Linked DNA regions of Xenopus tropicalis. The protein of the gene in region 1 purifies or fractionates together with the protein of each later gene. This does not show direct contact. Links are inferred from orthologs where the notes say so. Each region holds a gene or a part of one and is shown in the gene's direction. Other genes may lie near its edges. The genes, in order: myl6 and iqgap1.

What was found.
Region 2: the proteins of myl6 (region 1) and iqgap1 purify together in Homo sapiens (affinity purification with mass spectrometry; 4 studies listed by BioGRID and IntAct, counting the BioPlex papers as one, with this or other methods). This does not show direct contact. The link is inferred for Xenopus tropicalis from reciprocal best matches to the Homo sapiens genes MYL6 and IQGAP1.

Annotation. Positions count from the first base shown.
Region 1 is NC_030678.2:137,520,327-137,537,494, reverse strand, and holds myl6 (myosin light polypeptide 6), read left to right. Parts: upstream 1-8,251; 5' UTR 8,252-8,260; coding exon 8,261-8,263; intron 8,264-8,661; coding exon 8,662-8,689; intron 8,690-10,958; coding exon 10,959-11,102; intron 11,103-11,628; coding exon 11,629-11,802; intron 11,803-12,171; coding exon 12,172-12,249; intron 12,250-12,453; coding exon of another isoform or gene 12,454-12,482; exon of another isoform or gene 12,483-12,495; intron 12,496-14,292; coding exon 14,293-14,321; 3' UTR 14,322-14,702; downstream 14,703-17,168. UniProt on the Homo sapiens protein: Regulatory light chain of myosin. Does not bind calcium.
Region 2 is NC_030679.2:106,840,945-106,857,448, reverse strand, and holds the end of iqgap1 (ras GTPase-activating-like protein IQGAP1), read left to right. Parts: intron 1-3,986; coding exon 3,987-4,219; intron 4,220-5,597; coding exon 5,598-5,730; intron 5,731-6,367; coding exon 6,368-6,470; intron 6,471-6,687; coding exon 6,688-6,823; intron 6,824-7,269; coding exon 7,270-7,357; intron 7,358-7,593; coding exon 7,594-7,806; intron 7,807-9,374; coding exon 9,375-9,541; intron 9,542-9,906; coding exon 9,907-10,029; intron 10,030-11,272; coding exon 11,273-11,381; intron 11,382-12,930; coding exon 12,931-13,044; 3' UTR 13,045-14,870; downstream 14,871-16,504. UniProt on the Homo sapiens protein: Plays a crucial role in regulating the dynamics and assembly of the actin cytoskeleton.

The DNA of each region.
Region 1 (17,168 bases):
AGCCTATACCCTATATATAGAATTTACCTTACATTTATTTATGTCATATTAGTGGAAGATGCCTTATTGTTCATAGCTTTATTATATACCGAGGACAATATAAATTGCTTTTTATCAAAAATACAATCTATTATTTCTTGAGAAGGCTCCACACAATTTTAATTTTGCTCAGAATGTAAAGCAGATTTGTAGTTTCCTTGTTTTCTCAACTATCCCTCTGACAATGTTCATTGATGTGACATAACAAACTGTAGAAGTTGGATGAAACTATTAGATATTTCTGTTTATGCTGAAATGTACCCCCTGCCCCCTCCTACCTGTTATAGCAAATGCATTGTGTAGGTTAATCTCATCTAGGTGTGTATTGTGTGTAGCCAGCCGGCTCTGTCTGGCCCTTCTAATGTAATTGCCCCTATTGTGAGGGCACACAGAGCCAGACCCCATAGTGACACAATACACATAGTTAACCCTTGTGAGAGCAGTGCTCTGTCTAGTAAATGCAAAAGACTGAACTGGGCATGCTCACTAAGTGGCTTCCCATAGGCACAGTGGGATTAGCTATGATTGGCCCCTCTGGAAGCTGCCTTTGGGTTGGCAGAAGGAGTCAAATCCGGTTTTGGTTTTACGACAGGGGCTGTTCCCTTTCTGGCTACAAAGGTGGCTTCCAACATTTCCAAGGGCTTTTTGTCTGGGGTGTAACCTTAGCTACGGCAGGACCCCCCTCCCCTGTGGTCCCCTGGAATCTACCTTAGCTGCGGCAAGAAGTTTTCCCTCCAACTGTGTGTATTCCCCTATTCCCTAAGGAACAAGAGTGCAGGCTGCTACAACCTACTGGCTTATGGAAACCTGCTGATGGCTACTTACCATTTCTCCAATAAACGCCTTTCCTGTGACACCAACTGTTTGCTCTTTGGGTCCTGCCCTATGTCTGTGAACTCACGGGCCTGAGGTTGTGACAATTGAGTTCCTCCAGGAGGCGGGACTTAATTCAGCGCTAACCAAAGCTGAAATGACATCCTTTCCCTTCCGAGATGCCAGATTAAATACAATGTAAGGGACACCGTCTGTTATTAGTTATTATCAATACTATTAATAATTAAGAACTCTGTCTGTAGACAGAGATCATAATCTAGGCAGGTTACTATTTGTATTTAATTTAAGTAATGCTCTCTGTATCTCTGTCTTTCTCTCTCTATATATACTGTAAGGTTCAGTTTAGCAGGGGCCAAAGTTACGGGGCAGTTGTAGGTGCGTTATACTGCTCTAAATATAGACTGATTTATTGAGAAATTTCCACAAAACCCTACCAGTCCCGCCCATCTGTTCCACTTCCTGCTGGCTGAATTCTCTGGATGTGCAGGGGAGGCGGCGGCTCTCAGTACACTGCACTGTAGGAACCAATCAGCAGCTAGGCTGACCTGATAGGGAACTGAAGCCTGTCTTTGCTTGTGTGACTGAAGGGCTGTGATTGGCTATCCCCCTCTTACTGTGCTTCTGGCAGGGGCCGTTAGGACACGCCCACCCTCCATTCGAAACAAGGACAGAGACCTGATAGGATCTATACGGAACTCCAATAAAGGGGCCATTTTTACAGACAGTATTAATTTGTAGCTCAAACTGAAACCAATACCATATATTATTTTTAATTGCCTACAAGATTAGGTTTTTTTAAATTTATCCAATATGTCTACTTTAAGTAAAAATTAAACAGCTTCAGCATGCTTTCTTTAACATAGGATTAGCAGTCGTGCTTTAACACACATATCGGTGAACAAAAACAAAAGATGTCCAGCACTTACAGCATAAGGGCTTGTACTCATTAGCATTTTTCATGCACTAGACATGTTCCTAGACAAATTCTTACGTTCCCAGGTGCCCACAGCCATATGACTTTATAAACACCAGTCACACTTTACTGCTACGCTGCAAGCTGGAGTGATATCACCCCCTCCTGTCCCCCCCCAACCCAGCAGCCAATCAGCAGAACAATGGGAAGTAGTGATGTGAGGGACCGCACACTACCCTAGCCTGCCTGCTCCCAACCCGAATCCTATCCAACCCGGCTTCTCCCCTATATTTATAGACCCGCGCCCGCCCTGTGATGATGTCATACAAGGGGTGTGGTATAGCGGGGGCACGCCTATAAATACAGAAGCCAGCAGTGTAAGGTCGCTGGTGTGGAGGGTGAGCGGAAGAGCTTAACCCATACCTGGACCCGAACCTGCCCAACCGACAGGTAAACCCACAGTTTCCACAGGTATCGGGCCAGCCCACACATCACTAATAGGAAGGTATTGCTAAAAATGCTTCCACCTAGTGGTAGAAATGAGAATAGCACTCAATAGTAAGAAATCCTGGTCCGGCTTGGGACTCCTCCAGTTACATGGGGGTAGGAGAAACAATAGGTTATCTGAAAGCAGTTCTAATGTGTAGCGCTGGCTCCTTCTGAAAGCTCAGACTCAGGCACAATGCACTGAGATGGCACCTACACACCAATATTACAACTAAAAAAATAAATTTCTTGGTTCAAGAATAAAATTTTAAATGGTAGAGTGAATTATTTTCACAGTCACAATATAGTAATAAATACTATACAATAAAAATCATGACAGAATCTCTTTAATCCATATTGGAGGCAAGACAATCCTGTTAGGTTTATTTAATGTTGAAATGATTTTTAGCAGACTTGAGGTATGGAGATCCAAATTAAGGAATGCCCCCTTTTCCGGAAAACCCCAGCGAGCATTCTGGATAACAGGTCCCATACCTGTATATGCTGTATATATGCTTTATCCAGAAAGCCCTGAAATACAGCAATGTCTTTTCCTGTTAGTCTGTAATGATAAGACAGTACCTTGCACTGCAAGGGAACTAAGCTGCATAAATCCGTATTGGTGACAAAACCATCCTACTGGAATTTTGTTTTTACATTTGTCACCACTGTCCTGTTTTTGAAATGTAACTCTCACTTACACAGCAAGGTCAGACTTTGACAAGGGGGGACTGGCAATGCAGAAAGGCTCTTTATTGTTCTACAAGATCGGATCAATGGCCACAGGTTTAAAATTGCTTCTGCATAGCCTCAAAATAAGCTGTTAGTAATACAGTTTGTCATCTGTACTTCAATTCAAGTTGCTCCCAGGGTCCCTCTATGCAGAGGGGCAAGGTAAATGCCCTTTCCCTCCCCTACAACATGCCCTGTTGCTCAGGCCCATGGAAGGGACAGTGTGCCAGAATGACCACCTTTTTCCTGTACATACACCTCTATGACAGAACCTTTCCAGTAAATTGGGTATGCACTGAGATATATCACTAATTAACCTGATGCACTTGTGTCTCATCCCTCCTGCAGTGCCAGCTGGCTGAGCTTTGTTTGTCCCCATGTAACAAAATCCATTCTGCATTGGCTGTTGTGTATCTGCCTTGTGCTGTTGCTGCAGTGGGCTGGCATGGAGCCTGGGAGTGTAATTCCATAGGATTTCTTTTTGATATATATTCTTGGCCACACCAAATACCATAGCATTTATTACTCTTTAGCTGAATACCAATGAGCCTCCATACTGGCTTCCATTTATTGTGTGGTTAGGGGAGACAAGGTTTGGTAAAGTTTTCTGTTAGGAGAAAATGGTATCAGCGCTACACCAGCATTTTACTTCTGGCTGGTTTCCCAAGCATCTTTTGCGACAATCCCTATTCAGGCATGCTCAGCAGAGTAAACCTGCACCATCTACTCTATTGCCCATATACAGATAGCCAAGTGCCAAAGCATAGAATGAAGGTATTGAGATGCTAGGGCCCAAGGAAAATTTTAGTGCCTAACATTTTGGCACCCCGCCCCAAGTAAAATTAACTTTACATGTCCTTAAAGTCCTTAGAGTCATAGCCTCTACTATGCCCTATGTCAGCATGATATCTATTAAGGATCACCACTAATAAAAGCTGCATGTTGGCTAAAAGAATACTCATTTTCTAAAATGAGTTATAGAAACTATACTATGAGAATTGCTACTGTACCTTCACTGCAGACATTCACATACTTGTATAATTTTTCAGAGCCACCATGTCCCAGGTCACAACATACCCCTTATAAACAGCTTAAAGTTTCATGGCTTTACCACCACCTAGTGGCTAACTTCATGGAAATAATAACTTTTTGCCTGTCTACAACACAATAGCAACCCACCAAAACACATATTTATTATTTTCTATAGCTACATACCCCCTAATTCCCCCAATAAAATCAAAACTGGGCAGGGTTTCAAGCAGATTGGCAAATATAATTATGCATGGCTTTATGTGGGTGAGGGTGTAATTGTTAATGTCCTCATTTTTTATTTCTAGTTGTTGGAAAGGTATGCATACATGCTCATAGTGATTGGCTAAACAGACCAACCATCAATCAAGTGGTAACCCTCCCAAAAGAAACATTTTTTTACATCCTGAAAATCACAGTTGGTGAGAAACATGGGAAGTTCTTGGCCAGCCTGGATGTGATAGGGACTGCAGATGGGGTAATAAATTGTGCACCAATCTCCAAGCAAAAAGAATACCCTCTACCTTAGCATTAGGCATTTTCTATACAGTGATTCATTTAGAATTTGTAAATTCCCAGTGTATTAAAGTGCTAACTTTTTTCCTGGGTCTGGTTCTACTGTTTTGTAACCTCCACCTTACCCTGTTTGCCCAAGGATGCCCTGTGCTGTAGTATACTTGCGCATATGCAGTATAATAAAGATGGAAACAGCTGCTGTATTGTGTATTGTGCAAGTCTGGAAGTCTGACTGAGGCACAAAGATCCCTGGGAAAAAGTGTAAGATGGCAGCAGGCTGGGCACGGTGCTTACATGGGAATAATCCTGGGAACAAGAGCACCTGCCCGGGGCAAAAGTGAGATTTTTAATACACAGGTGAAATTGGTGCTCCTCAGTCTATTTAGCTTTGCTTGTACCATTTGAGGTAATGTAATATTTCTGTAATATTTATGCAAGGCATTTATCAAAGAGTACCTGAGAAACAGAAATTTAACAGCATCAGCAGCTCCCTGATAGCAGGTACCATAGTATTTACAATTTTCCTGCAGGCAAGCAATAAAAGGGTATCTAAGGCTTAGCTTAAAGAGAACCTCAGCCCAGGGTCACTGCTGCCATGAGGCAAGATGAGATACTCACTTCAGGCAGCAGCACCCTGCAATTGCGCTCCCTGTACTAGCGATGCGGCCCCTGCCTAGACCCCTCTGGCACTGTAAAAATAAGCATGGGGGGCTAAGGGGGGCGGCATTGCTAAAGCTGCTTCGGGCAGCATTTAAGACAGAATCGCCTCTGCCTCAGCCATTCTTGTGGGCTGTTTAGTGAATATGAGTGGTGCAGGCAGGGGGTGCAACAGGCAGTGCAATGGTGCAGGCAGGAAGGGGGACCCCTGGCAGTGTGATGGTGCAGGCAGGAAGGGGGTGCCACTGGGAGTGTGATGGTGCAGGCAGGAGGGGGGTGCCACTGGCAGTGTGATGATACAGGCAGGAAGGGGATGCCACTGGGAGTGTGATGATACAGACAGGAGGGGGTGCCCCTGGGAGTGTGATGATACAAACAGGAAGGGGGTGCCACTGGGAGTGTGATGATTGCACGGTCACATAGTAGTAGTCTATGTCATTAACTTAAACCTAAAAATAATCATGTTCACCATCGCTAATACCAATTAACAATTCACCAGTGTAACAATTCACATATATACAAGTACAACAATCAATAAATAAATATAAATTAGATCATAAAGCATTAATGTTTAGGTTCAGCAACACCTTTGAGGCACTGATTAAGTTAAAAGAAAGTAAAAAAAATCAAATGCATACTTGCAGAGATTATATCACTGACCTATCCTATACACTCACATACATAAATTATACATACAAACATTAATACTAACTGTAGATATTAGTATCACAATAGCCTTGGATACTATGCTTGTTCAAAAACTTATCCAGGCCCCTCTTATAGGCATTAACAGAATCTGCCATTACCACATCACTAGGAAGGGCATTCCCCAACCTCACTGCCCTCACCGTGAGGAACCCCCTACTGTATGTTGCTGCAAATGAAAGTTAATGGTGATGGTGGCGCGGCGGGAAAGATCCGTATATGTATTTATTTGGCACCAAGGCCATTTCACATAAAGTAAATAATTCAAATAGCATTAGCAAATAGCCCATCTCCTGCCCCCTTACTGAGTTAATCTACAAGCTAGCACCTATCACTGAAGCCCAGCATAAAAGAGGGAATAACACTGGTAGGAATAGGATTTTCACTAGTAGTGACAATGGGAATGTATAAGCTGAAGGTACAAGGTTACATTTGCTTTGTATCTATAGGTTTTCATCTCTGCAGAAGTTGCCATGTAACCTCCAGTATAAGACCCCTCTGTTCAGCTATACCAGCAGAATGGAAGCCTGACTTCATTTACTTTAACCGTCTCATCTGTGCAGTTGGCAATGTAACTGTGTTTGGTATAGATTATAAAACCTCCAAGTGATTGATTGAATTTGAAATGCGGTGCGCATGTCATAATTGTCAAAAGTAGATCCAGCTGTGGGTCCGTGGCTGCCCATGGTGGCAGGGCCGCCATCAGAAATCACGGGGCCCCTAACAACAAAATTTTCTGGGCCCCCCTCCCCCAGGGCCCCTCCCATCAGTACAGGACACACAGACATAAAAAGTATTAGGGCCCCCCTACCACAGTGCCCCCTAACACTATGCTGGCCAGGCCCCCCTAACGCTATGCTGGCCACAGGCCCCCCATAAAATTGCCCCATATACAGTACTCCCATACACAGTGCCCCCAATTGCCCCATACACAGTGCCCCCATAGACAGTCCTCCCCACACACAGTGCCCCCAATTGCCCTTAGACAGTGCCCCCAATAGAAAGTGCCCCCATACACAGTGCCCCAATTTCCCCCATAAACTGTGCCCCCAATTGCCCCCATAGAAAGTACCCCCAACAGACCAAGTCATCGTCGGCTGCTCCTTCTCTCTTATGCTGCGGCAACAGGCCCTTCTATAAGGTTGCACCTCGTCGCTGACGTGTGACTTCATATGCACAGGCGCAACCTTATAAAAGGGCCTGTTGCCACAGCATAAGAGAGAAGGAGCAGCCGACGATGACTTGGTCTGTTGTGGGTACTTTCTATGGGGGGCACGGCACGGCGCGGTCTATTGGGGGTACTTTCTATGGGGGGTACACTCTATGGGGCAATTGGGGGCACTTTCGGATTCGGTTCGGTGCAGAGCATGGATTCGGCCGAAACCGAATCCTTGAAAAAAAAACGCAGTATTCGGCCTTATAGGAAATAGTATATATACAAATATATAAAATATATTATATATACCATTTGGTAAGCAGATTTTATACATGACCAGTACAATATATAAATTTTTATGCAAATATCAGACTATATATATATATATAGTTGAAACAGAATACCACACTCACAGGACTTAGTGAAAAAATGCGCTACATTTTGGCGCCATTGTGGGTTTAAGAGTGGGTTTGTAATTACTTTGTTCACTTTGAGAAAGGCTGTGGATACGGCCGAAACGTTAGATAGATGTTTTTCACAATAAAACATAACTACATTTTTTCACTAAGTCCTGTGAGTGTGGTATTCTGTTTCAACTGTAACACTTGTATTTTGTATACTGCACCCAGGCATTTTGATATAAAAATACCTGAGTGCCTGCTCCCTACCAGCTCTGTAAGAATATATATATACTGGAACAATGACAGCACTCCTAGGGTTTAAAGAATTGTGAGAAAATGTAAATGCAAAAATAGAAAGGTTTATTACTAAGTAACTAAGTAATAAACCTTTCTGTTTTTGCCTAATAAATAAAATGAAAGTGTTAGATATTATAAAATAATTATGATTACATAATGTAGTGATTACATAAGTGACCAGTAAAATATATACATTTTTACGCATTTATCTGTGTGTGTGTGTAAATAATGTTTTTCCTAATACAAAAATTAAAATGTTAGATATAACATAATTTTGATTAAATCATTATTAATTAAGAAAATTTCACTTGCGATAAAAGTACAAACCCATCCCAAGCAGTTCCGCTTATTGGCCAGCAGAGAGCGCACAACGTATATTTGCGTTTGACGTTGCCAGGGCTTGGGGCGGTGACGGGGAGATGACGTAGTTAGGGCTACAAAGAGAAGAAACCGGGAGCTGCGATTCACATTCCGGAAGGGAGAAGACGCGTCAAGATGGTGAGGAGTGTTCGGCAGCTGATAGTCTTTCCCTAGGGGTCTAACCCCAAAGCTGGGACTGTCCAACCTGCGGCCTTTCAGTACCTGATGAGACAAAAGTCTCAGGTTGAAGTTGCATTATAAAGGCTGGAGGGCCGCAAGTTGTCTGTCCCATTGCTAGTGAGGAGATTGCGCAACATCGGTGGATTCCATTGCCTGGCAGATGTTCTTGCCGCTGGCATGCAATGCCCTTTCCTGGCACAATTCCCCATGCCTATAGATTGCCGCTATTACATGTGGGAGACATCGGCAAGGTTGCTGGGGATCACTTTCCGCCCGTGTCGCCCTGGGCCTAGTGGGTGGGTGTGTTGGGGAGGCTATGCCTGTCTGATGCCTTGTGTTTCTCTTGCTTTGAACAGTGCGACTACTCCGACGACCAGATTGCCGGTAAGTGCTCGCTTGGTCTCTATACGCGGCCAGATAGTGATGATCCGTCTCCCCATAGGCTCAGGCTCATCAGTGTCTTTCCCTCGCTTCCCTCCTCCCATCATGCTCACCCTGTCTCTCTCATTTCTCTGCCCTCTCAAGCCTGACTGTACCCAGAGCAGCCGGCCGGTAAGTGGGTGCCCCTCACACTAACCCCGCACTCATTCCTTCCCTACTCACCTTCAGCTTTATTTTTCTAATCTTGGGGTTCTGCTTGGCCCCCCAAACAGACAATCCTCCTTCTCCCAGACATTGTGTCATTAAAGCTCCTGTGCCAGTGATTGGCTGTCTGTGAGACTGGGAACTCTAGTTCAGCAACAAGCCTTGCCCCTCCCTGTTCTGCAGTGATGCATGTTTGGCCATAAGTTAGCCAGAGTGTTCTGTTTCTTTGCAAAATCTGCCCAACTTTGTGATTGGCATGAAATGTGTTGTTGCCTTTTCCCTAATCTACTTTAGGCTTAAGCACCCAGGATCTCTGGCAAATAAGGGGTTAATTTTATCAGCAGTGCAGGACCCCCCTGTGTGTGTGGGAGGGGTTTGTTCTAATTCACATTCTAACCAGCTCTTGTTGCAGAAGGCTAATTCCATGGTGGACTGGACATGCCAGTACTACCCTGTAATAGACATAATGGATGTACATGTAATTGGATTGTATCCATCAGAGCTATGGCTAAAGACTCCTGTATCGGGTTATTGCAGGGCTCTGGGCGTGTTGGCGCAGACAGTGTTTATGTTCCTCCTGTACCTACATTGTTCTTTGACACACACGCCCTCCCTCTCCTCAGAGGAAAATGGCTGCCAGGCTGTTCTCTGGATGCCTTATATGGTAACAAAGCCTCATTCTGAGCCTGTCAGTGCAGAACTGTCAGCAGAGGAGGGGTTGGCAGTGAGGAGGATGGGGCTGAGCTCCCTGCATTCCTGCCGGGCTGATGCCTGCAGGCTGGATTGTCTCTTCCCTCACTGGGTTGGTGCAGCCCAGCCTCAGATCTGCTGTGGGTTGTACTGGGCGTATTACTGTGTGGCAGAGAGGGAAACGTTCCATTTGAAATGATTTCCTCTGAAAGGAATCCAGCAGGAGGGGTCAGGTTAGGGAGTGCCACAGGAAGGAAATTGCCGGGATCCCCCCCCCCCCCACTCGCCTGATTGCTTGCAGTTACTATTTCTAGTCTAAGGGCTGCCGTACAGCTTCAGCCAAGACATTTGTGCAGATGTTATAGCTGTGCAACAAATACTTGAGGAAACTGATGTAGAAATATATATATATATATATATATATATATATATATATATATATATAATGGAAGTTGTTATATGCAGTGGGAGTCCTGTTCCTTCAGGTCCCTAGATGTTGCTGGATTACAACATCCCATCATTCGTCAATATTTTTTAAAGATTTAAAGCATGCTGGGACTTGTAGTCCAGCAACATCTAAAGCAGGGCAATGCAGATTTTTGGACAGCAGAGATCCATCTGATCATGTTCAGACTTCTGAATATAGTAAAGCCCAGGAAGCCTGGTAGTATTTATATGTATATAGTTGGTTAGTACATGTTATAGGGGAGCAAAGAGTAAGTTAGTGCTCAGTATGTGAAAGCTAACAATAAGCTGTGCTGTTGGGAATATATGTGCCCTTACATTTGTAAGTATGCACTGCTGACCCTGCATGCTGACGCGTGTGTGTTTGCGTTAAGGTGGTTGTCACAGGGGCCAATGGAGAGTGATTTTATACTGCTTACTTGGACAAAGCTTCTGAAATCTTGTCTGCTTGTGTCCTGTATCATTGGTCCCCTGCCTATGGCGCAATCCTGCAGTGTTGACATGGGCCCAGTCCGAAGGTCAGTTAGCATGGGAATTTGTGGGAATGCATATTTGCAGCTCTAGATATACTAAACATCACTGATAAATTATATAAAGGGCCCCTGACAAAATATTGGACCTGTGAAGGGTGGGGGCATGAACAGGAAAAGTGCCTAAATCTTTATTTGGTAAATACCAAGAGTCCGTGTGGTTACTCCGTGACCCACTGTCACCTTGTGCTAGTTAACTAAATATTTCTGCGCTAATGCAATGAATTCTCTGTGCATCCAATTCTGCAAAGCTGCTCCAGTAACTGTGTCACTGCCAGTGACTGACCCCCACACTTTGTATTACTGGGTGAGTTTGCATCGGGCCATTTCTTTCTCTCAGCCATTCATGCCCTAACTTATTTCAATTCATTTTTACTTTGCAGACTACAAGGAGTCCTTCCAACTTTTTGACCGTGTCGGCGATGGCAAAATCCTCTTCGGCCAGTGTGGGGACGTCATGCGGGCACTGGGGCAGAACCCCACTAATGCTGAGGTGATGAAGGTTTTGGGAAACCCAAAGCCTGAAGGTGGGTAGAAAAGACAAGGAATGAGAGCCTTGAGTAAATGTGTGCCCTGGGTATTGTCAGGGAGTATTGTGTGCTCCGCTCCATATTTCTGTATGCTGGGCAGTTTCAAAATATTTTTTTTTTTTTTTTTTTTTTAGAGGCCAGTGTCTCATGTCATTGCCTATATTTACACTTTTTTTTTTTCCTTTAAAAGGCTCTCTTAGTAGTTAAATATTCTCATTAAACTAAGAATCACTTGTAGATATATGATGAGGGTTATTACATGCAAACACGGTGGAACCAGTAATTGCAACATTGCATCATACATACAGGCGTTTCCCATTGTTTATGAAGGAGAATATTTTGCAGCCATTCTTGCTGGTTGTGTTGCAGGCAAAACATAAAGCACCATCATACTGTGCCACACAACTGCTAGTAAAGTACCTGAAACAGCAACAATGTCTAGCCTATTGGCTATGTAACCTTCTATCTAGGGGGCTTTACCTGTATGGCTGGTGCTAGTTTGTTCTGTCTCTTATTCCTGCAGACATGAACATCAAGACACTTGACTTCGAGCAATTCCTCCCCATGATGCAAACAGTTGCCAAGAACAGGGATGTACCTGGATTGGAGGACATCATAGAAGGGCTAAGAGTCTTCGACAAGGAGGGAAATGGCACAGTTATGGGCTCCGAGTTGCGTCATGTCCTGGTTTCCCTCGGTAATAACACAATCCCTTGCAAGCTATGTGTGTGTTAGCTAGCCTGCTGACTATCCACTACCATTGATCAGAACAATGGGCAGAACAACTGACTGATACTCGCAAGGCCTAAGATAAATTAGATTTTTTATTTGTCAGTGGGATGTTGAATGGCATCACACCAGAAGAAATTGTATGGCACCTAGGCTTATGGCGCACGTGATGATGATTTTTTTTTTTAACTAGCAGGACAGCACCTGAACCATATTTGATCCATTAATGCAAATTACCGACTACTATAATGTGTCCGATCATTTTCAGCTGCTGGAGAACATACCTTACGCTTGTTATGGAAGTTGTTACGTAACCCTTAATGTTTCTGTTCCACAGGAGAGAAGATGACAGATGATGAAGTAGAGACCCTTTTAAGTAATCATGAGGATGCTAATGGTTGCATTAATTATGAAGGTGAGCACTGTACAGGCATCTTGCTATGGAAGTGTTTTTATCTAATGTTGAATAATATTGTTTCTGAGGACTCATGCTGGGCAGCCGATTAGGAATGTTCTGGGAGAGTAGTGTTACTGGGAATGTAACTGTACTTTGGGTGGTGGGCCCACATGTGCACGATGGTATATGATATCTTGTCTCTGATGATTTTCGTTCCCACAGTGTTTGTCAGGAACATCTTATCTTCGTGACTTCACTCAGTGGGTATGCTGGTTCCTACTACTAGTTTCAGTATATTCTGCCCAGTTTTTCTCTTCTGGTTGCCCCTGGCCTATCTGCATGTTCCTTGCTGTGTCTGGATAGCATTTAACAGACTGCTGCTAACACATTATATTTATTATTGCAGCTTATCCTTGGCTTAAAAGCGTCCTCTGCTGGTAGCCAGCTACTGTCACTGAACTGGCAGTGTTTGTGTGATTTATAAAATAGTGTATGTGTGTCTTCTGTGCATTATGGTAACACTCAGATCCATATTGTTTAGAACAGCTAGCAACCTTCTCTTGGTCACTGGTAGGTGACATTGCAAATAAACAATATTTAGGGGAACTGTGGCCCTTTAGCTACTGCTGATGGAATGCTGGCATTGAAATTAAAGCCACAGCTAAATAGCACTGTAAAATCCTGTATGTTTGTTTCGGAAGGAAATCTTAGCAGATAAATCAATGTTTACCAAAGTTACAAACTAAAAATACTGTAGAATATATATTATTTGCCTAAGCTCATTGTGACCAGGCAAGATAATGATGGGGAAAGGGGGTAGTCCTGCTATATTAGTGCACAGTTCCTTATCTGAGGTAACCCAAAGGAATACATTCGTTATTGGGAAAATGGTACAAGGTTCCCTGCTGCTTGTACAGATTGGGAGTAGATCTGAGGTTTGCATGTACAGTAACTTCCTTCTGCTCCAACATAGAACCCCTTTGCTTCTCTTGCCTCCAGACATTAGCAGTGCTGTAGATATTAGAGACCTCTTCTGGCCTTTCATGCTTTTGGACGAAACTTTCATACTTCAGTCTTTATATGGTGCCATAATTGACTTTCTGTTCTGCTGATCATAGAGACAAACTTGATAGATGTTGGAGCATACCATTCGTAAGCTATGGGGGTTGGTGCTCCTGTGAGTGGGTTTGTTCTTTCCATGCAGTACCATCTGGGTTCTTTGCTGGAAGAAACAGACTGGACTTTGCAATGCACACAGGAGCCCCCTCCTTTCACCAGTGGGTTGTGTACTGTGACTTGCTGTTTGACAGGACTTGGTGATTTCTGTGGCTTAATTCTTTGAAAATGAGTGGGCTAAACATCCCTACCATGTCTGGATTTTAACTGCATTTTTTTTGAATACACAAACACCCCTTTTTGATGTTATTTTGTTCATTCATATGGGTTAAATAAAATGGTGCATAAACATTATCTAAACTTCCAGAAATAGTTTTAAAACAGACATACCTAATTCCACAGATTGTAAGGAACCCATGATAGTCTGTCTCGTAGGAACCATTTCTGCAACCCTCCTTTGGCTCACAGTCATCCACAAAAGGACAAGGTCAGGGAGGGGTTGAAGTGATGGATTCTTGGACTTAAGTCCCTTGTTTTCCATAGTGCGTGATGCACAGATTCTTTGGAAAGCAGAGAGCCTTCAGATCAGAGTCTTTCACTTCACAATATGGGGTGAGTGAGGGGATGAATGACTGTAAGCCTAAGAGGGTTTGGAAATCGCTCCAGCTGGTAACAGATTATCAGGGTTCCCTCTCAATCTGATATTTGGTTGATTTTTCCTTTTAAGAAATCACCTAAACGTTAGAGAGATGCCAGTGGAGCCACTACCATTTATGCAGCATCCCCTATTCCCCCTCATTGTTACTGGACTTCTGCAAAGTTGGTAGTGCAGCAGCTCCCTGGCCCAAACACTTCTACATAGATTGTGCCAAACAGCTGGGTGCACAGCCCACCTTCTACCTGCTATGCCTTCTCTCTAACATATTTTTATATTTCTATTTACAGAACTTATCCGGGCGATATTGAACGGCTGAAGCTTCTCCTTTAGTTTACCTCTGCCCAGTGGGGATGAAGTGTGGGGGGGAAGTTAGTTAGCAATTTATTCAAGCCCTTCACTAGAGAGGAAGACAGGCTATATAGTAAGTGCCTTTTCTGCTTCCTCCTTATCCCATCAGTCACCCCCTTCTTCTCGCAAGTGGCAAAATTCGTATTCATTTTTTCTGTAACATCACAAGGGAGGCCCACAGCTACAGCTTAAATGAACATCGGTAGAAATTGTGGCAAAATAATTTTTCATATCACCCCCCCCCCCCATGCTTCCTTAATGCTGTAGTGTGCAGAGAAAGATAAATTATTTCAAATTTCTATTTTTTCCCCTATCCAACATCAAATAAACTGAGTGACTTTTTCCAAGACATCTTGTGATTTGTTTCATTTCTCTGCACAAGTTACATCTTAAAATCATTCTGAGGGGTAGATGCATCAGGAGAAAGGGAAAGAATTAATTTTACAGGGCTCTTGCTGAACATACATTCTGCATACTATTTTAATGATGGTTTCTGTTATACCTATACAAGACAGCAGCAGTCATTTCTTTGTTCTGCTGAGTGTTATCAAAGGAGAAAATAGTAAAATACATTAATAGTCCACAAATAAGGTTTGTAATCTTTTTACAAGTGTCAAGAGCATTTGACCAATTTATCTTCCTGTGTAAAACCCACTGCATTCTACAGAGCTGTGTAATGTGGTTTTTTTTTTTCGTTTTTTTTTTTTTTGCTCTAATCAGCTTGAATTGCCGCCCTCATAGCTACACAGCAGCTAATGTATCAAAACTATAGATTTGTTTTTGATGGGAACGCACCATTTTTTCAGTGTACATAAAATTACATATAAAACTAGGAAAAGATCGCAGGAAAGATTTCCACCCTCCATTGACATTCAGGGCTGAATCATCTGATATGGAGGTAGAAACAATAGAAGTCCTACCTCCACCTGCCAATTCAGCCCCAAATGTAGATTTTGCTCTGGCGCCTTCAACAGAGCGTGATTGATAGGGATTAAATTACTAAATGCTGTGATAGGGGCTAAATTGCTTAATGTTGAATTTACACAATTTTGTTTTCAATCATGAAGGCCTGTGTATGTGTTACTTCAATTGTTATGATTATCCTCATTATCTTGTCTGTGTCCAAGTTGCTCTGGCCTTGGGTATCTCAGCTTATTTTCAAGGCTAAGAAACCATAATAAGCTTCAGTAGCCATTTTAATGAATTTCTGTTATTTGCTAATAACTGTAAGGCATATGTGCCCACCCATGCTACGTAAGCATAATGGGATGTGTTTACCTATCTACTATAAAAGTAATATCAAAACAAAATAAATTTGTACTTGTTTGCAATACACATACTGGTTGTATCGTTTGTACAAGTACCCTGATCAGCTCGCCTGAAGAGACATATCAGATATCTTGCCATCACACAGAGATTAAATCGGACCGGTCCGTGACTGCTTATAGGGACAGTGCTACAGGTGCACAGAGTTACAGAGATTTAACCCTAACAGTTCGTGCTACAGGTGTTACGAACAGAGATTACAGGATTTAACCCTTTCAGTGATCAAAATCTTGTAACCTGCCTGATCGACGAGACTGATATCGCCGAATATCGTACAAAACCCATAACATTTGTGCATGTATGGCCGGCTTAAATTGTATCCTGGTTCCACCACTGCCAGCTATATATGATCCATGGTCAATTATCTCTCTTGGGCTACTTATCTGATATTAAATAGATTGATATTTTTGCTTTATAAATTAAGAAGAAGCATTACTGAAATAGAGAGGCCAAAAAACATTGACCAAGGGTAATGGCACACAGGGGACACCAGAAAAAAAACCCACTACATAAACAAGGGAAATGCTTGGTCATGAGTAAAGGCTGGACAAGTTGGGGTTTGTTTACACTAGAGGGGGGGGGCACGGTCACTTTGTATAACTGTAGAAGGTAACCATACACTATATAATGGCTTCTAAATCACAAGATTTTGAAAAAATAAGGGTATCCATGTTGTGCCAAATGAACTGACCTCATTATGGATGAAGAGCTACACACTGGTGCTGGCTCCAGCAGTTCCAGTCCTAGTTTTAGCTACAAGAGCCTGTGGCCCTGGTTCAGTGTGAATATTGCTGATCATTAATCACCACCACGTAACTGAGGAAAAGCAAGCAATGAGGCCAAACATGGCAGCTGCCAACCCTGCTCTGCAGTTTTTCTGCTATGACAAGGCGAAGAAACATTTAAGCTTGGCACAATGGGGATGATTATGTTCAGGAGGAGGCAGGAAATGGGGAAATGACTATAGGTCATATTTAGTCATGTATATATGTGTATGTATATATATAATATACATATATACAGTGCCGATTCACAACTGCCATTTTGGAGTCCGAAAACTTTTAGAAAAGTTTCTTACACAGGACTGCACCTATAGAATGATATAAGCAAACAATATCTGTGCCCCATTCACCCGTGGAAGAAAACACAGCAGGTTATAATTAAGGTGTGTAATTTAGCTATGTATCCTATCCTCCTGACTGGCTGCCAGCTCTCTAAACCTGCCTAAAATGGCATTACAAAAATAGACTGTATAAGGCCACAAGGTCAGTTGGTATTTCCCTTCCAAATTAAAATTAATGCAGTAAAACTTCCTTCTGCAACAACTAATAGTTAAAGGACATGTCAACCCCAAAAATAAGTTTTTGCCTAATAAAAGAAAACATAATTCTAAGCAACTTTCCAATATAAATGTATTTAAAAGTTTCAGTGCTTTACATGTAATTGCTATTGAAAACAAGCATTTGCTTTTTAAACAATGTTGCAAAGG
Region 2 (16,504 bases), on another chromosome or scaffold:
GGTAAGCTCTAAGTTTACACTTTTATAAATCTGTCCCTAATTGTATAGTTTTATAAAATTCCTTTGGCAGTTACACTACTGCTGTACTCACCAATTATTTTTGTTCTAGCTGAATGCCATTGAGAGGTGTGTGTGTGTTTGTGTGTATGCACATTTAATGTATAATTCTTATTTAGTGATAATTAGAGTATTTACTGCAACACATATTCTATTTTCCAACACACTTCCATTTCCTGTTCTCATTTCCTTGTTATGTAATACATGGCTGTGATATTTCTGGCTCGCTCTTCCTAAACTTGCAGTCATTTTGTGCTCTCTGCTGGTGACTTGTGGATTAGCAGGTAATTGGGCGCTGCCGCTGTTTCTGTCCTGTGATTGCAGTCCTTTCTTTTCTTGCTCATTCTGCTGACCTTGCTGCACTGTTATTGAAAGCTTTATTTTTCTCTGTTCTTCTAGCTCTTTCTTCTCTGCACTGAGACATCGGTTATGCTCTAGTTCTGCAGGTGATTTTCTCTTTTCTCTATTGGCTGATTGGTGTATTAACAACACTTTTTTAGTGATTGCAGTTAAATCATATGTTAACATTGCTCCCATCCAATGAACCGTGTATATTGTTTTCAGGCAAATACAAATAGTTTTTTTGATGACTGTGTCCCTTTTGTATACTAACTTGTTTACTGCTTCTTCCCCCTGACATCAATGATAAACTGATTCTGCAGATTATTCTTTTATGTAGAGGGGAATTTTTTTCAGGTGGAGCTAGACTGATGGCAAGCTCTATATACTTTGTAGGCATATAAACTGAGTGGATATTATAGGGCTGAAAAATGTACCTGCTTTTATTCATTCCTATGGGATTTTTAAAAGTGTATTTATATATGTCTATGAAGATTCTCATTCATCCAGGTCATGATATACAGTATCTAGTAGAATTAAGTCTAAAACAACTGGACTTTTCTGAGTTTTTTCTTGAAAACGTTTCACCACTCATCCGAGTGGCTTCTTCAGTTCAAATGACTGGTAGGGAATTCCCCGGAACAGAGGAGGGGGCCTGAGACACCGCTTGTCACCAACATACAATGGCGCGTTGACATCCTTACCCCGGCAGTTTCACAACAGTTCACACTTCCAGTCATGTACTTTGAAGGATTAACACCTTCATCAATGAGAATCTTGGTACCATTGTGATTGGATCATACCTTCTTACACCTGTCAGTTTCAGCTAACACCTAACTGAACAAGTTCAATGGAACCATTGTGATTGGATGTCTGTGACTCTACTACCATCAAGAGTTTAAATACCGGGGAATTCCCTACCAGTCATTTGAACTGAAGAAGCCACTCGGATGAGTGGTGAAACGTTTTCAAGAAAAACTCAGAAAAGTCCAGTTGTTTTAGACTTAATTCTACTAGATACTGTGTATTTATATACTTTCACCCATTGTTAAATATGGTCCAAAAATCCCATAAGAATGAATAGAAAGTGTGTGGTTTTTCTCTGTGGTGAGCTCTAATCTTACATTTTAATATATCGGCCCCTATAAGTCACTAAGCAGTTCCATGACCATAAAAGGCCTGAGGCTGAAGGCTTTTATACACTTCATGGAACTGTGAAGACATTTCTAATATCCTCATTTCACAACAAGGGTTACATTATTTTTTGTAATAATAAACAAATTTCAGTGAGTCATGTGACAGTGACATCACTAAGCACCGATTATAACTGATGACATCACTAAGCACTGCTATAACCATATCATTTACAGGATATTTATGGCTGTTGTGTATTATATAGTAGATTGTACCCTCCACTGTAATTTGCATGCCTTTTGCTTATGGGTTAATTTATACTTATATTTTACAATAGGGGATACATTATTCATTATTTTATTTACAGTTTGTGCCACAGGGAAATTAGGGATTGTACATAAATATACTATCAAGCACATGCAAATGAGCACAATGGGTTTCAGTAATGGCTGGTATGTGCCCTATGCCCATTGTTGCAGAGAATACATTTTATCCCTCCCACCCTCCTACTTTTTTCCTTTCTATTTCTCATACGCACCTCTGTCTTCCTTTACAGCTTTTCCTAAGTTCTTCATGACCCACTTTTCTTGCCAGCATTGTGCCCCCTTTAGTCCTCTGTTCTGGTCACTTTTTTTTAATACCATGTCTTTCTGTTCTACACTAACTCCCCGTCTTTCATATAAACAACACATATTAACGTCCCCCCAAGGTGTATTTTGGCTTCTCCTTTCAGCTTTTCTTTTTAACCTCATTGCTACTTTGGCCTGTTCACTATTTTTTTTGCACAATTTTGTCCTCTCTAATTCACTTGTTTGTGCATCCTACCCCCTTCCATCTCCCATTTAAGACAAATCCCCCTTTAGGGAAATAGACTTTTGTGGTATGGGCACATGGAGCTTCTCTCAACCCAGCTATTTCCCGTCAGGCTGACAGAAGCAGATCTGCTTCACTGCCTTTTTCAGGGTGACCTCCTATCTGCCCCAGTGTGTGTGCCTGCACTTGGGCAGATACTGCAGCTTTCAGTGCAGGCACATGGATTAGCACAGGGAAAAGTCTGACAGAAAAAAGCTGGGCTGAGAAGTGGATTTACACTTTGTGTGCCTGACGGAAAAGCGCATCTATGCTCCATGTGACCTTGCCCTTTGTTCTCAAAATTTCCAGCCCATTTGTTCTTACCAATGCCAGTGTAATGTTATCTTATATTGCATTCCAGGCTATGTAAAAAAACCTTACACAAGTTTCTGTCCATGCCTACAATATCAGGCCACACTCCTTGCCTGCCCTCTTTCAGTTTCTTGTTGGAAATGTAGTGCACAATAGGAAGCTTATTGTAGATGATGAGGAAGGATGTAGATAGCCAGTTAGAGATAGGGCCAGCCTAGGATAAATCTATGAGCTGAACAGTTACACATTCTAAAGTTAGGGGTAAAGCATAATTACTATAATAATACATTCTTCTCTATCTGTTAAACAAATACCAAAGGTGAAATTTCACAAGTGTGTGTAAGCTCTTTTGGGCAGGGCCCTCTTCACCTCTTGTATCGTTTATTGATTGCTTTATGTTCCTCTGTATGTCCAATGTATGAAACCCACTTATTGTACAGCGCTGCGGAATATGTTGGCGCTTTATAAATAAATGTTAATAATAATAATAATAAAGTGTGTACTTGCAGCTGTGCATCAGCTATATGCAGCCCCTACATGCTAAGGTGTCACACTTTTCTGTCCCATGTACAGTAAGAGTGAAGACACATGGAGCGATTAGTTGCTGCGACTTTTAACTAAGTCCATTGCATCAACATTTCTTCCATAAGATATAATAGAAGTCGCCACAACTAAACGCTCGCGAGTTTTTGCTGCGCAGATTATTCACAATGACTTTTTAATCGTCCCGTATTTCTTCTTCCTAAGCCATCACTAAGCTTCTGTAGCATGCATACTGAACACTTACTTTTAACTGCCTGCCCTTCCCTAACCCTCATCTTTTTATTACTAACATGATTCAACATATTCTGCAGTACTATGCAATAGAAGGGTGTACACATCAAACACTGTCTTGATACTGAAGGTAAAGAGGGCTCTGCCATTTAGAGCTTACTGTAAGTATGCAAAGTCAGACAACATATTACCTCAGGGTTTTCAACTGCCCTTTATCCCTCTTTCTGTTAGGCACTGGTGCACTGTATAGCCATTTCTATGTCTTTCCTCAGGAAAGAACCATCATTTGACAGGGCAAACTTGGTCTGTGAGTTTGAAACTATTGTCCTTCTTTATAAAAATGATATTGGATATTATAGTGAAAATTATATTGTCACTTACACAGAGTCACTGCAGGAGCTGTGGAGTCCAATAATGCTGGCTGAAAAGCACCCATAACTCCCACAGGATCTGGGTGACTGACTATATGTTTACTGCTGGTTTTTTTTTTTCTCTAACTAGTGCTTTTGTTCTTTCAGATTGTGGGAAATCTGCTATATTACCGCTACATGAACCCAGCCATTGTGGCACCAGATGCCTTTGACATCATTGACCTCTCTGCTGGAGGACAGCTCACCACAGATCAGCGAAGGAACCTGGGTTCTATTGCAAAGATGCTTCAGCATGCTGCATCCAACAAGATGTTTCTTGGAGACAATGCTCATCTAAGTGCCATCAATGAATACCTTTCACAGTCATACCAGAAGTTCAGGTCTGTGCAGTAATTTATTTAATTGGTTAAATGAGAAAACACACATTATTACTTTCACTGGCTGACAGCCTCGCGAAATAAGGAATTCTAACCAGGTCTTGGGCCGTTGGTTTAAAGCAGTGCTACAACTTTTTTAATTCAGGGGGCCAGTTGTGGCTTTGTGGTCCTCAATTTGTGAAGGCCCCTATTTGCACTATTAAATGTAATTTTAGTTCACTACTGGTTAACGCTGTTTTAAGATTTTACATTTGTATTATTTCTACATGTACTGTAAATATCTAAAATATTATATAGCTTATTAGTCATATACTATGGTCATTAATAATCAATGGCACTGTAAATAGGTGATCCCTCTTTGCCGGCAATGTACAGTAACTAATAGATACAGCAGTAAAAAAAACTGGCACTGAGCACGTGGCACTTTGTTATTCTCAAGACAGATAACCAATAAAAGTCTTTTTTGAAATTCCACAGAGCTAAAATGTCCTATTTTATGAGAGCCATAAGGCTTATTTTGTACAGGGCTCCGTTGGAGAGCTAGGGTAGAGTTTGCATAGGGGCATAGCAAAGATGTTGCCTCCACCTAGGCATTGGGTTGGGTTTAATATCTGTAGCTGTGAACTTGAGGAGCATTTCTGGTTATTTTTTGTAACCCTAAAGGGACATTACAGTGACTTCCCTTTTAAACCAATACATTTTGTATGTCTTTATTAAAAATGACAACAAAATAAAAGGAAACAAGAAAAACACAGTTTATGGATTGATTGTTTGAACCCTTGAAGGCATTTTGTTATAGTATAGATTTCTTGTTCTTGTAAAAGCAACTAGTATGTCAGCAACTATATGCTTACATACTAATATATATAATCCTAGATTACTTTCACAGGTGATACAAAGCCTGCCATAATAATAATAATAATGTCCACAAAATGGCACCTACCTGCTTGCTGTGACTATGCAATTCCAAGACGAGATTAATATTATTTATATAGTGTAAGTTTATTTTGCTTGAAAAACACAATAGAAAATAATTTGGAGTTATTTCTTAGGGTGTCAGGGCCTTTTTAAAGTTAGAACTAGATCGGCTTCAACTATGTACATTCCTGGCTGTCAAAGACCTGGAAAGAAGACATCAAGCAAAAAGGGATAGTGGCTGCCAACCCCACTGCGCTACTCTTGTATTTTATTAACAGGTCCCGGCCTAGGGCATTGTATTGGGGAGTGTGCATAGTGTGGCTCAATTGGTGGAGGGGACATATGATATAAATGTGCCTTTTAATTTGGGTATCGTATTTCCCTTGTATGCAATTAAATATCCCTAAAAATATTGGTATCTGCTTAACCTCATACATGATTATATCTGTGTTCTTCTCTGCAGGCGCTTTTTCCAGTCAGCTTGTGAAGTTCCTGAGCTCGAAGACAAGTTTAATGTGGATGAATATTCAGATCTGGTGACTGTAACAAAGCCAGTTATTTATATTTCCATTGGAGAAATTGTTAACACCCACACTGTAAGTAGTCTGCTGGCTTTCAGCTGGACCCTCATTTTGTTTTCTGATATTATACAAAAGATTCCCAAAGTCAGCACGCCATAACAAACTTCAACCTGGCGCACATCCCCATGTCAACTTCCACAGAAGTATAATTGTATAGAAGTAGAAGTTACTGATACTGTAGACCTGTTTTACAATATAAGTATCACCAGTGGAGAAATTGGCACTGGCCAAAGACGAGTGTAGAAATAATAATTAGTTGAGAAACCACAATGTACAAGTGTACAGTATCAGAAACGTTCATGGTCTTGATATACCAGCAGGGTTTGGTTCCATGTACTTTTGTTAAAGCTTGTTTGATAATATGGGACCCAGTATGATAATGTACCCAGAATACTACTATACTCGCTCACATTTCAGTCCCCTGTAGCAAGTCCTTTTCATGTATAAATCCTGGGGATTTCTCTATACAAAGTTTTTAATAACATTTTACTTACAAGTTGTTTATTTAATGTTAAGAAACATGCACTGTGCCAGTAAGCAAAGGTATACTATTATCTATAACAGCTCACATATTTATTAACTTCAGTGCTTTGTAGGGTAGCAAGCTGAACCTCAGCAAATGGAATAACTAATTTTGGAACTATTATTTCAGTTGCTTCTTGACCATCAGGACGCTGTAGCACCAGAGCATAACGATCCAATCCATGAACTTCTGGATGACCTGGGAGAGGTTCCAACCATTGAGTCTCTTATTGGTAAGCTACAGTTATACCATAGACAAATTATAAGCATTTGGCATAGGTCTCTTGATTTAAACTTGGCCATGTGAACACTTGTAAAGGAAAAAAGATGCGGAATGAATGCACTTACTGTAAGAATTCTTATTGTAAGAACTACCATGGGTGGGACTTCTCAATCTCACCTGGCACAGCTCTGTAGATTAAGGGTAACTCGCTATTTTGTTTCATTTAGGGGAAGGACCAGGCTCTGCAGGGGACACCAACATGGATTCGTTGGCAAAAACAGAGGTGTCACTTACACTAACTAACAAGTTTGAAATTCTTGGTGATGAAAATGCAGAAAAGGATGCAAAAACCATCATGCTGAAGTAAGAGCCAAATCGCAGTTTGCCGTTTATTCCTGTTGACTCTTTTCTTTTTATAAGTGCTAGGGCTATGGCACATAGGGAACATTCTCCACAAGTGCATTTTAGCTAGTGGTAAAGTGCCCAAAACACCCATGGTGAACTTTTGTTTACTCTAATAGAAACTGCATGACAGCCCTGATGCTGTCTCTTATCAGCTTAAAAATGCTCAGTAGAGCTTTTTCAACCATGAAAAATGCCAGTAACTGCGCTGTGGTGTGTTACCCATTCAAGTAAATAAGAATTAGCAGTGGATGTTTTGTATGCTTCTTTGCTGGCTAAAATAAGCTGTCAGAGGATATGCCCTGCATGCCATCAAAGTTAGGAAAAAATATAAAGTATTCTCAGTGATATCTCAAAGTCCTCTTTTATCAACACAAACAAAACAGTTTTTTTTCTTCCTAATATAGCACAAAACGCCTCATTGTGGATGTTATTCGGTTCCAGCCTGGAGAAACCTTGGCAGAAATCTTAGAAACTCGAGCAACCAATGAACAGGTAAAAAAAAAAAAGCCAAGTGCGGCTATGTAGTCAGAGATGGATATTTGTGCACCTTTTGTATACATTAAATATAATAATTGTAGGTGTTTGACAAGTGTAAGTTACCAGGTTAATTTTGTACTTTGTATGTGAGAAAATGCAGTTTTGAAATGTAATCAGCATCTGTTCTATTGTCAAATGTGGAAGCATCTGCCAGCAAGTGCTCTACAACTTGTGTTGTTGTCCTAATTCAGGAGTCAGATCATCTGCGAGCCATGCAGAGGAGAGCTATGAGAGATGCAAAAACCCCAGATAAGATGAAAACCGCTAAGAGCCTAAGGCAAGACAGCAACCTAACCCTTCAGGAAAAGAAGGATAAGATAAAAGCCGGTTTAAAAAAGCTTGAAGAAATGGGTTTGGTTAATCCAGATAATCGGTACCAGGATCTCATCAATGACATTGCCAAGGTAAATTGACATGAGTATATATTAGATAGCATGGAATGGTATGGTTGTATTGGCTGGACAGAAAATAAAGAGGATTTACAAATGGTAGTATTTCATAAGTGGTTCTCCTTAAATTCAAGTAAATGGCTAAATCCATTGCTAGTTGTAGCATTGGTTGCTGAGCTAATGTAACTAGTTCTTAATGACTATTATTATAAGAACCATGGTATCAATAGCAGCTTTACCGTCAGTAAAAAAATATTTTTTTTGCCTTTGCTGATGCTAAATCATCAGAAATTGTGCCCCCTGAAGCAGCACAGTGGTAGTGCATTAATCAATGAAAGTGAAGGAGGTGGGCTATACTGAGGGAAATGAGAAGGCAAGCTGTTGCTGCAATGGTCTTTGGATTATGTGGCATAGGGCTGCCTAATAAGGGAGCTCAGCATTTCTCTACCATTGGAATAACTAAAATAACCAAGGTTTATTAAAGGAGAAGGAAAGGCAAAATCTATTAAGCACACTATTAAAAAGTACTACTACTGCTGTGTAAAATCGCTATATTCCTGGCTTGCCTAATGAAAGATTTACAAAGATACACATGCTAGAACTTACATGCTTGTTTCAGTGAACGGCGCCGCCATCTTATCCAGCATGTCTGAATGGGCTGAAAAGTACAAGCCGGCTCCCTGCTCCTGTTAGAAAGTTTCTGCAGCTCCACAAATTCCCCCTCCATAAACAATCTCCCTGGCAGCAGCAGCCCGCCCTCCCCCCTGCTTGTGAGGAAAAAAAAAAAAAACGGAGCTCTCTGCTGTGCACTGAGCATGTCTGTGTCCTGGACAATCTGTGTTCAGTGAGACAGGAAGCTGCACAGGCTTAGAGCAGGTACTGTATTTACTGACAAGACTTTTCCATGTCAGAGCCAGATGAAGCAACAGCACGGTGAGTTCAGGAAATATGTTAAGGACTGTGTTAAGGCTAAGTTATTGAGCTCATGTTGTTTTTAGACTTTCCTTCTCCTTTAAATAAACTTTATATGTTTCTAGAAATAAGTGTCGTTGTTCATATTGCAACATAACTGCAACAACTGAACACTGTTTCAACCATGCACAGATTTAGTTGGGGAGTAAATATGGCTCACTTGACCCTTACCAACTATTTATTCACATATCCCTAACTGGCCTGCAATCCCTACAGATTCTGGTGTGTCTACAGTGAGATTATATCTGCTCATGCGCATCAGGCATCTGCAAATATCAAAGTGAGAGTTGCCACAGCTCTCCCTATGATGATGACCAAATTGGACAGTACAGGTATAGGACCTGTTATCCAGAATGCTTGGGACCAAGTGTATTCCGGATAAGGGGTCTTTCTGTAATTTGGATCTGCATACCTTACGTCTACTAAAAAATCAATAAAACATTAATTAAATCCAATAGAATTGTTTTGCATCCAATAAGGATTATTTAAATCAAATACAGATGTAAAGACAAATGTTTGAAACTTATATATTTTACATTGTATAAGTAAACAAAACCCTAAGTATAGTCTTCAGTAGGCATTTCTGTCTAATTCTTGTTTCTGCAATATAGGATATCCGTAATCAAAGGCGATACCGCCAGCGACGAAAGGCAGAGCTTGTGAAGCTGCAGCAGACACACACAGCGTTGAACTCTAAGGCTTTATTTTATGAGGAACAAGTGGATTATTACAAGAGTTATATCAAAACCTGTATGGACAACTTGGCAAGCAACCGCAAGTAAGTGTTTGAGAGCAAATGCTGCTTAAGCTTGTTAATACAGTATGGCTAAATGTCAGCAAACACATGTCCATATAGAAAAACATTTCTTCGTTAAGCTTTTTGTTATTTTTTCATAGCACAATAAGATAAAAATTAGAAAAATAAAATGAATTAGAAACCAGACAGCATGGATGGAGGAGGTTGCCTTCTCTGGCTTTTAACATGGTTTGTTAAAAGCAATTTTTCTATGAATCTACATTATTAGGTTTACATCAGACTCACTTTTATGGAAGAATAGCTATTATGCTTTTAAATTTGGATACATAGTTTTGCTGCTGTTCTATGTTTTCAGATGACTTTTGCATCTTTTACCGTTACACCAGGTTGTCTAAGAAACCAGGCCAAGCTAAAGGGAAGAAGAGTAAAAAGATATCACTGAAATACTCTGCGGCACGGCTGCATGAGAAAGGGGTACTGCTAGAAATTGAGGACCTTCAAGCAAATCAGTAAGTTCTGTTGACTCTGACAGTGGCAATAGAAAAAATTGTTGTACTATAGAATAAGACATTTACAATGTAAACAGTGTTGTAAGAATATATTTGCCAAGAACTGGTTGCCCCAAAGGGGAAGATCACTCATTACTTGGCTGCTACATTCCCTGGTTTGCATGAGGACAACAAGGATACACACTGCATTTTGTGGGTTCTGAGTACAAATATGTATAGATTCAGTACCACAAAGCACCACTGTAGCTATTTGTATGCAGTGCAATGCTTGCAATTAGAAACAAACAAGTTTCTGTTAAAGAATATTACTTAGATGCTTATTTTAGCAAATTTGGAGAGTGGAGAATATTTTTATAATGTATGTAAGGAAATCTGAGCCTTGAAACAAGCTTTACCTTGTTGGTATAATAGGGCTGCATCTAGATTCAAAAACCTGAGTATGCCCAGTGGTGAAGATGTGCCATACCATAACATGCACCTGCTTGATTTGTTATCCTCCTCTTATACAGCTGCTGCTGAATTTGACACAAACTTTTAAACGTATAAACATTTTTCAATTACGTTTCTTTATTACAGAGGTTTATCATTGCATCACAAATTCCTCCAAGTCCCTGTAACAGTTTACATGACTTGTTTACTTACAGTCTTGCTCTCTGTAGTAGCATCTCTCTTTAAAATGCAGCTTCTCAAATCCAGTCTTCATTTAATTACATAATTTATATTCCCTTGCCTTGAGCAACACCCATCTTCCACTTCTAGCCATATTGCCTTCCCTCTGGGTATTGCATCACAGCAGGTTCCTAGTTCTGTTGCCATTTTCAAAGATTGCATCATTTTTTTTTTAAATCTGTATTAGAGATGTATACTGCATTAGATGGTATTAAAATAAACATAAAGCTTTTAGCTCAGTTAGAAATGAATTAGTATAATCCAGATTTAACTACTTAATCTTTCCCTCCCCTGTTTCATATTAAGTAACGTGAGCAGAAAGGAGCATGTGGAAAAAGTTGGGGTAAATATGTGGATAGTTATTTTAAAAGTAGAAAACTTAGAGAAAATGTATATACATTTTCTCTAAGTTTTCTACTTTTAAAATGTACTAAATACTAGTTTGTTAACCTTCAGTTTGGCATCATTTATTCATAAACTGCCATTGGGGCACACCCATACATCATTCTGTGACAGACATCATCACATTCGCCATCTATATGTCATTTGGTTCCTTATTCTTCTTCCTGTGCAGATTCAAGAACGTGATTTTTGAAATCGCTCCCACAGATGAAGTTGGTGACTTTGAGGTGAAAGCCAAGTTCATGGGCGTTCAGATGGAAACATTCATGCTGCATTACCAGGTATGATTTTGACAACTATCCATACTGAAACACAAAAATCACAAACAAATAAACTCCCACATTACACCAGGGATCTTTAAAATCTACATCCTTAAAGGGGAACAATCATGAAAAATGTTTCTATACTATTGAAAATATAAAGTCTAGGCAATTTATAGCTTTTTAAAATTTTGCATTGTTACAAAGTTATGGCTAAATATTGAAGCAGCCTCCCATCCCCCCCTTCCCAGTGATTTTAATTGCTTACCTTTTTACCCCTGGCTGGTGCTCCACACCACAACCACACCAGCCCAGAGTAGCTGCGAGCCAGCGATCCTCCTTCTTCTCTCTTCTATCATCTGGATCCCAGGGCCGGCACATGTGCAGTAGAGTGAAAAAGCTGCTTTTGCTGCTTTTTTTTGTTGTTGTTAAAGTGTGGCTTTTCTTTCTACTGCGTAACTGGTTCGAAGAAGGAAGAGGCTACTCCAGGCTGCTGTGGCTTTCTCCTAACATTTGACATCCCCCACTGATTTTTAACTTTCCTTCTCCTTTACGTAGAGGCCAACCCCTCTCTCCCCCATAGAATTGATAATAAAAATAGTAGGTCACCTATCCATTCAACTTAATACATCACTGTAGTTAGGCCAAAGAGTGGATAGGCAAGGTTGAAATGGGACTGTGGCAGGCAAAGTTAAAGATCATAGTAACATAGTAAGTTGGGTTAAAAAAAGACATACGTCCATCACGTTCAACCATAATGCCTATATATAACCTGCCTAACTTCTAGTTGATCCATAGGAAGGCAAAAAACCCCATATGAAGCCTCTCTAATTTGCCGAAGAGGGGAAAAAAATCCTTCCTGACTTCATCTTGCCTTAAACTGGATCCCTTAACCCTAAAATGTCTAAAGGTCATTGTTTTGTCCTTTTGCAATGCTATTGAATGCCCCCTTTTCCAGATGGCAAGCCTTGATTGAACAAGTTGTATATCCAGTAGAGCAGACATCCATGCAATAGCAAATATCTTAGTTGTTCCCTTCTATGTTCAGTAGTACCACCTCTAGGGCTTTCCTTACAATTGTAATCATTGTATATACCCTGGCCCAGTATTTTCCTGCTTTAGTAAATTCCCACAACCTGCAATTATGACCCAATTTGTCTACTACCTCTAAAGCACCACTTTTCTAATACCACCTACAAAGATTGTTCTAGTATGTTATTAACCGAGATATAAGTAAAGCATTCCTCCCCATTACCTATGTGAACCTTGCCTAAAGAGGTCACTTCCTTATGTATCAGTGGGGCCACTGTTGAAGGATGCACTGGTGACCCACAGGCTTTTTTAGCTTTACCAATCATTACTTATATTTCCTTCACCTCCCTGACTGAATTGCAGAACACAGAAATAAAGGCAATGCCTTAAGAAGTTAAAGGGCCCATAAGTTTGGCAATTACTTTTAAAAATTGTATTTATATTTAACATCCGTTTTCTCTGTAAATATATTTTATATCTGGTGAAGGCAGGGCTTAGAAATGTAAGAAAATGTTCACGGTCACTGTTTTTTGGACAGGATCTTCTCCAACTACAGTATGAAGGTGTTGCTGTCATGAAGCTGTTCGATCGCGCAAAGGTCAATGTTAACCTGCTCATCTTCCTCATCAACAAGAAATTCTATGGGAAATAAGAAGTCATTGGAGAAGATAGGGAATAGTTTGGGATAAACATCATATGTATGCCTTCTTGTCAAACTGTGGCTTCAGCCAACACAAACTGCCTTTATACCTGCACGAGCCTGTGTGCCCATTCTCTGCAAGCATCCATCTGTGTAAAGAAGTCATCCTGAGGCCTGCTGTAAGAAACTAGAAAGGCTCTGGTGCTTCCAAATATAGTGTTACATAGCTAAATGTATCTAGCTTAGGGAATCTAGTTTAGATGTCAAGAACAAATTTTATCTAGAATGCTGGTTAGCAACAAGAGTAAATGCACTAATACACTATATATGTTTTGTTTCGGTATTTTGTACTTTTTCCCCCCCTCCGATCACCTGTTCATTATTATTGCTATTATTGATTTTATTGATGGACCAAAAAGCTGAATAGTCTGAGCACAAGTTAAAAAAAGAATAAAGAATTTAGCCTTGTCCTCAATCACTATTATATTTCATTAGTCAAAATCAGCCACAATGTAGTCTTCCCTGCTTGATTTTAATTGAATGCTATACAGCTGTTGTAATGTGCATTACAGCCTTCTTGACATCAGTTTTAGTGGGGGTTACTGTTTAACATTATGCACATGTCCTGCAATGGAAGGAAATGATTGGCTGCCACAGTAAAAGCAGCTGGAATCAATCTTAACTGTGCCCAGTTTAACTATTTTAATTAGCCCTGCTTTATATTAGATATGCCTTTTAATCAGAATAATTTAAATTAGCTTGCAACATTGCCAGACTAATATACAGTAGGTAGGATAGCTGCCTAAAGATGTATTAGCCATTGTTTTATGTGGAAACATATTTTTAAAGGAAATGTTTTTAATTTTGGAATAGCGGTGGTTAATGCCACCCAAAATTATGCTTATTTTTTTTTCTTTTTTCACGTTCTCAGGATAATGCAAAAACACAATTTGTCCAGGAAACCTAAGCTGGATAAGTATTTAGAATCAAAGAGAAAATATATTGATGTTAGTTCCTTTTATACATGCAGACATAGGAAAGAATATGTGTTCATTCTGCTAACTGAGCTATAGCCGAGGGAACCTGATACCCAATGCTGATATTGTGTACTAGTAGGTAGTCTCTAGGGCCATGCTTGCGCACTGCTTGAATTATATTAGCTTTTAAACGTTCAGGAAATATATTGTAAATTAAGTTCCAGTTTTCTAAGAATGACACAAGCCTTTTATAGAAATAGGTTTCTTAACATTTATTTTGAAGAAATACAATAGCTTGGCAGAGTCCAGCATTAAAAGTGACTAGCACATTGCTAACAAATTTATATTTATATATATATATAAAAGTAAGGTCAGAGTGATATAATGTAGTACTGAGAGCCTGAACTCAGAGTATGCACTGCTGTCTTCCCTTGTATGCTTGTGTTAATGAGCTATGATCCAGCAATATGTATTTCTCATAGGTAGACAGGCCAATATGTGCTAATAGAAATATATTTCACATTCCTTAAAAAGAATTATACATTTATTTGTAATATAAGAATTAAAAACATAATTTATAGGGAAATTATCTTATGAATCCTAGATTATTAAAATGCCACAACCCATGCAATATATAAGTTAAATTCACTAAATAAACCCATTCTCTGAATTAAAATTCATTAGAAATGTGGGATCTTCCCATCTAAGACTTTTTTTTTAATTTATTAGTGACCATAAGTAAAAAGTTTCTTGAGGTTATATTTGTCTTTTTACAGTTTTCTAGAATATGGATAAGGTCCCTTGTTTGTACGTGGGCCTGCATCTTTACTTCTGTTCAACAAAATAAAAATATCATTTGTATTTGTGTGTGAAATCTATATTCATTATGGGTAAGTGTTGGGTCAGAAAATAGATCATAACAGGGCAACCAAAGTCTAAAAAAAAATAAAATAGGAAATGTTGGGGATTTCTGTATCAGACACGAAAGTGAAAATCCATGTTTCATCATTTTTCCATGCTCATGTATGGTTTACTTCCGATGACTTGCCCAACTCATATCTAAACATAAATTATATCAGACAAGAATCACGTTGGCTCCTTGGTCAAATGATCAGATATTACTTTGTATGGCCACCTTAAGTCAATTATTTTGGTTAAAGGTGGCCATACACAGGGCGGTTGTAGCTGCCGATATCAGTCCCTTGGACCATTTCGGCAGCCTATCAGCCCGTGTAGGGGCAGGAACGAGGAGCCTGGCCGACCGATATCTGGCCTGAAATTGGTCAGATATCGATCGGGCAGGTTAAAAGATTTAGTCAGATTGGGGACCGCATCGGCTCGTTGATGCGTTCCCCAAACCGACTGCCCCACTGCCGCCATTATAATTATCTATTATATTATTAATTAGTCTACATGTTCCCCGATATCGTCCACCTGTAGGGCGGGTCATCAAGCGAGCGGATATTCACGTGTATGGGTACCTTAAGACCTTTCTGTCATAGATATTCTTGGAACTATGGGTAAATGGCTGCTACTGCAAGGTATGTATGCTGTCACTTACCTGAGCTTAGGGACTAACATATACTGCATATAAAGAATATAAAATTCAAAATACAAGGTGGATTATTAATTAATTCAGACTCCCATTACACAGCAGCTGAAAAACCAGTGAAATTTGCATCAGAATTTAATAATCAGCCCTGTAGCATCAGCTTCTATGACATCAAACCTAATTTTCTGCTTGATTTGCGATCATCCCTAAGCTTAGCCTCTCAACAGCTGCCCAGAGCCCACTGACACTCCTAACAAAATCCAAGATGGTAACTGGCAGGATACAGACATATAGTGTAAATAAGAAAGTGTTAGGGGAATTGTCCTTGGCTGTGGGCAACCAGCAAATGCTGTAATACTCTGGAAGCCTGTCCGACCACGGAGTAACAACTAAAGCTGCCCTTCTAAAATGTATCTATTTTAGTACAGGTATGGGGCCTTTTATCCAAACTGCTTGGGGCCTGGGGTGTTCTGGATAAGGGATCTTTCCATAAATTGGATTGCCATGCGTTAATGTCATATAGATATGTTATCTTTCTTAAAAAAAATACCGTCTCCTTACATAGGTATGGGACCTGTTATCCAGAATGCTAAGGGATCTTTCTGTAATTTGGATCTCCATACTTTGTCTACTAAAAAATAATTTAAACATAAAAAACCCAATAGGATTGTTTTGCCTCCAATATGAATTAATTATATCTAAGTTGGGACCAAGTACAAGGTACTGTTTTATTATTTAGAGAAAAAGGAAACCATTTTTAAAAATTAGAATGATTTGCTTATAATGGAGTCTATGGGAGATGGCCTTCCTGTAATTCTGAACTTTCTGGATAATGGGATTTAGTAGTGGCTGAGACTATATAGATTAATATTAACATTATTAACAGATATTTATAAAGCGCCAACATATTCCAAAGCACAGTACAATAAGGTTTATACACAGG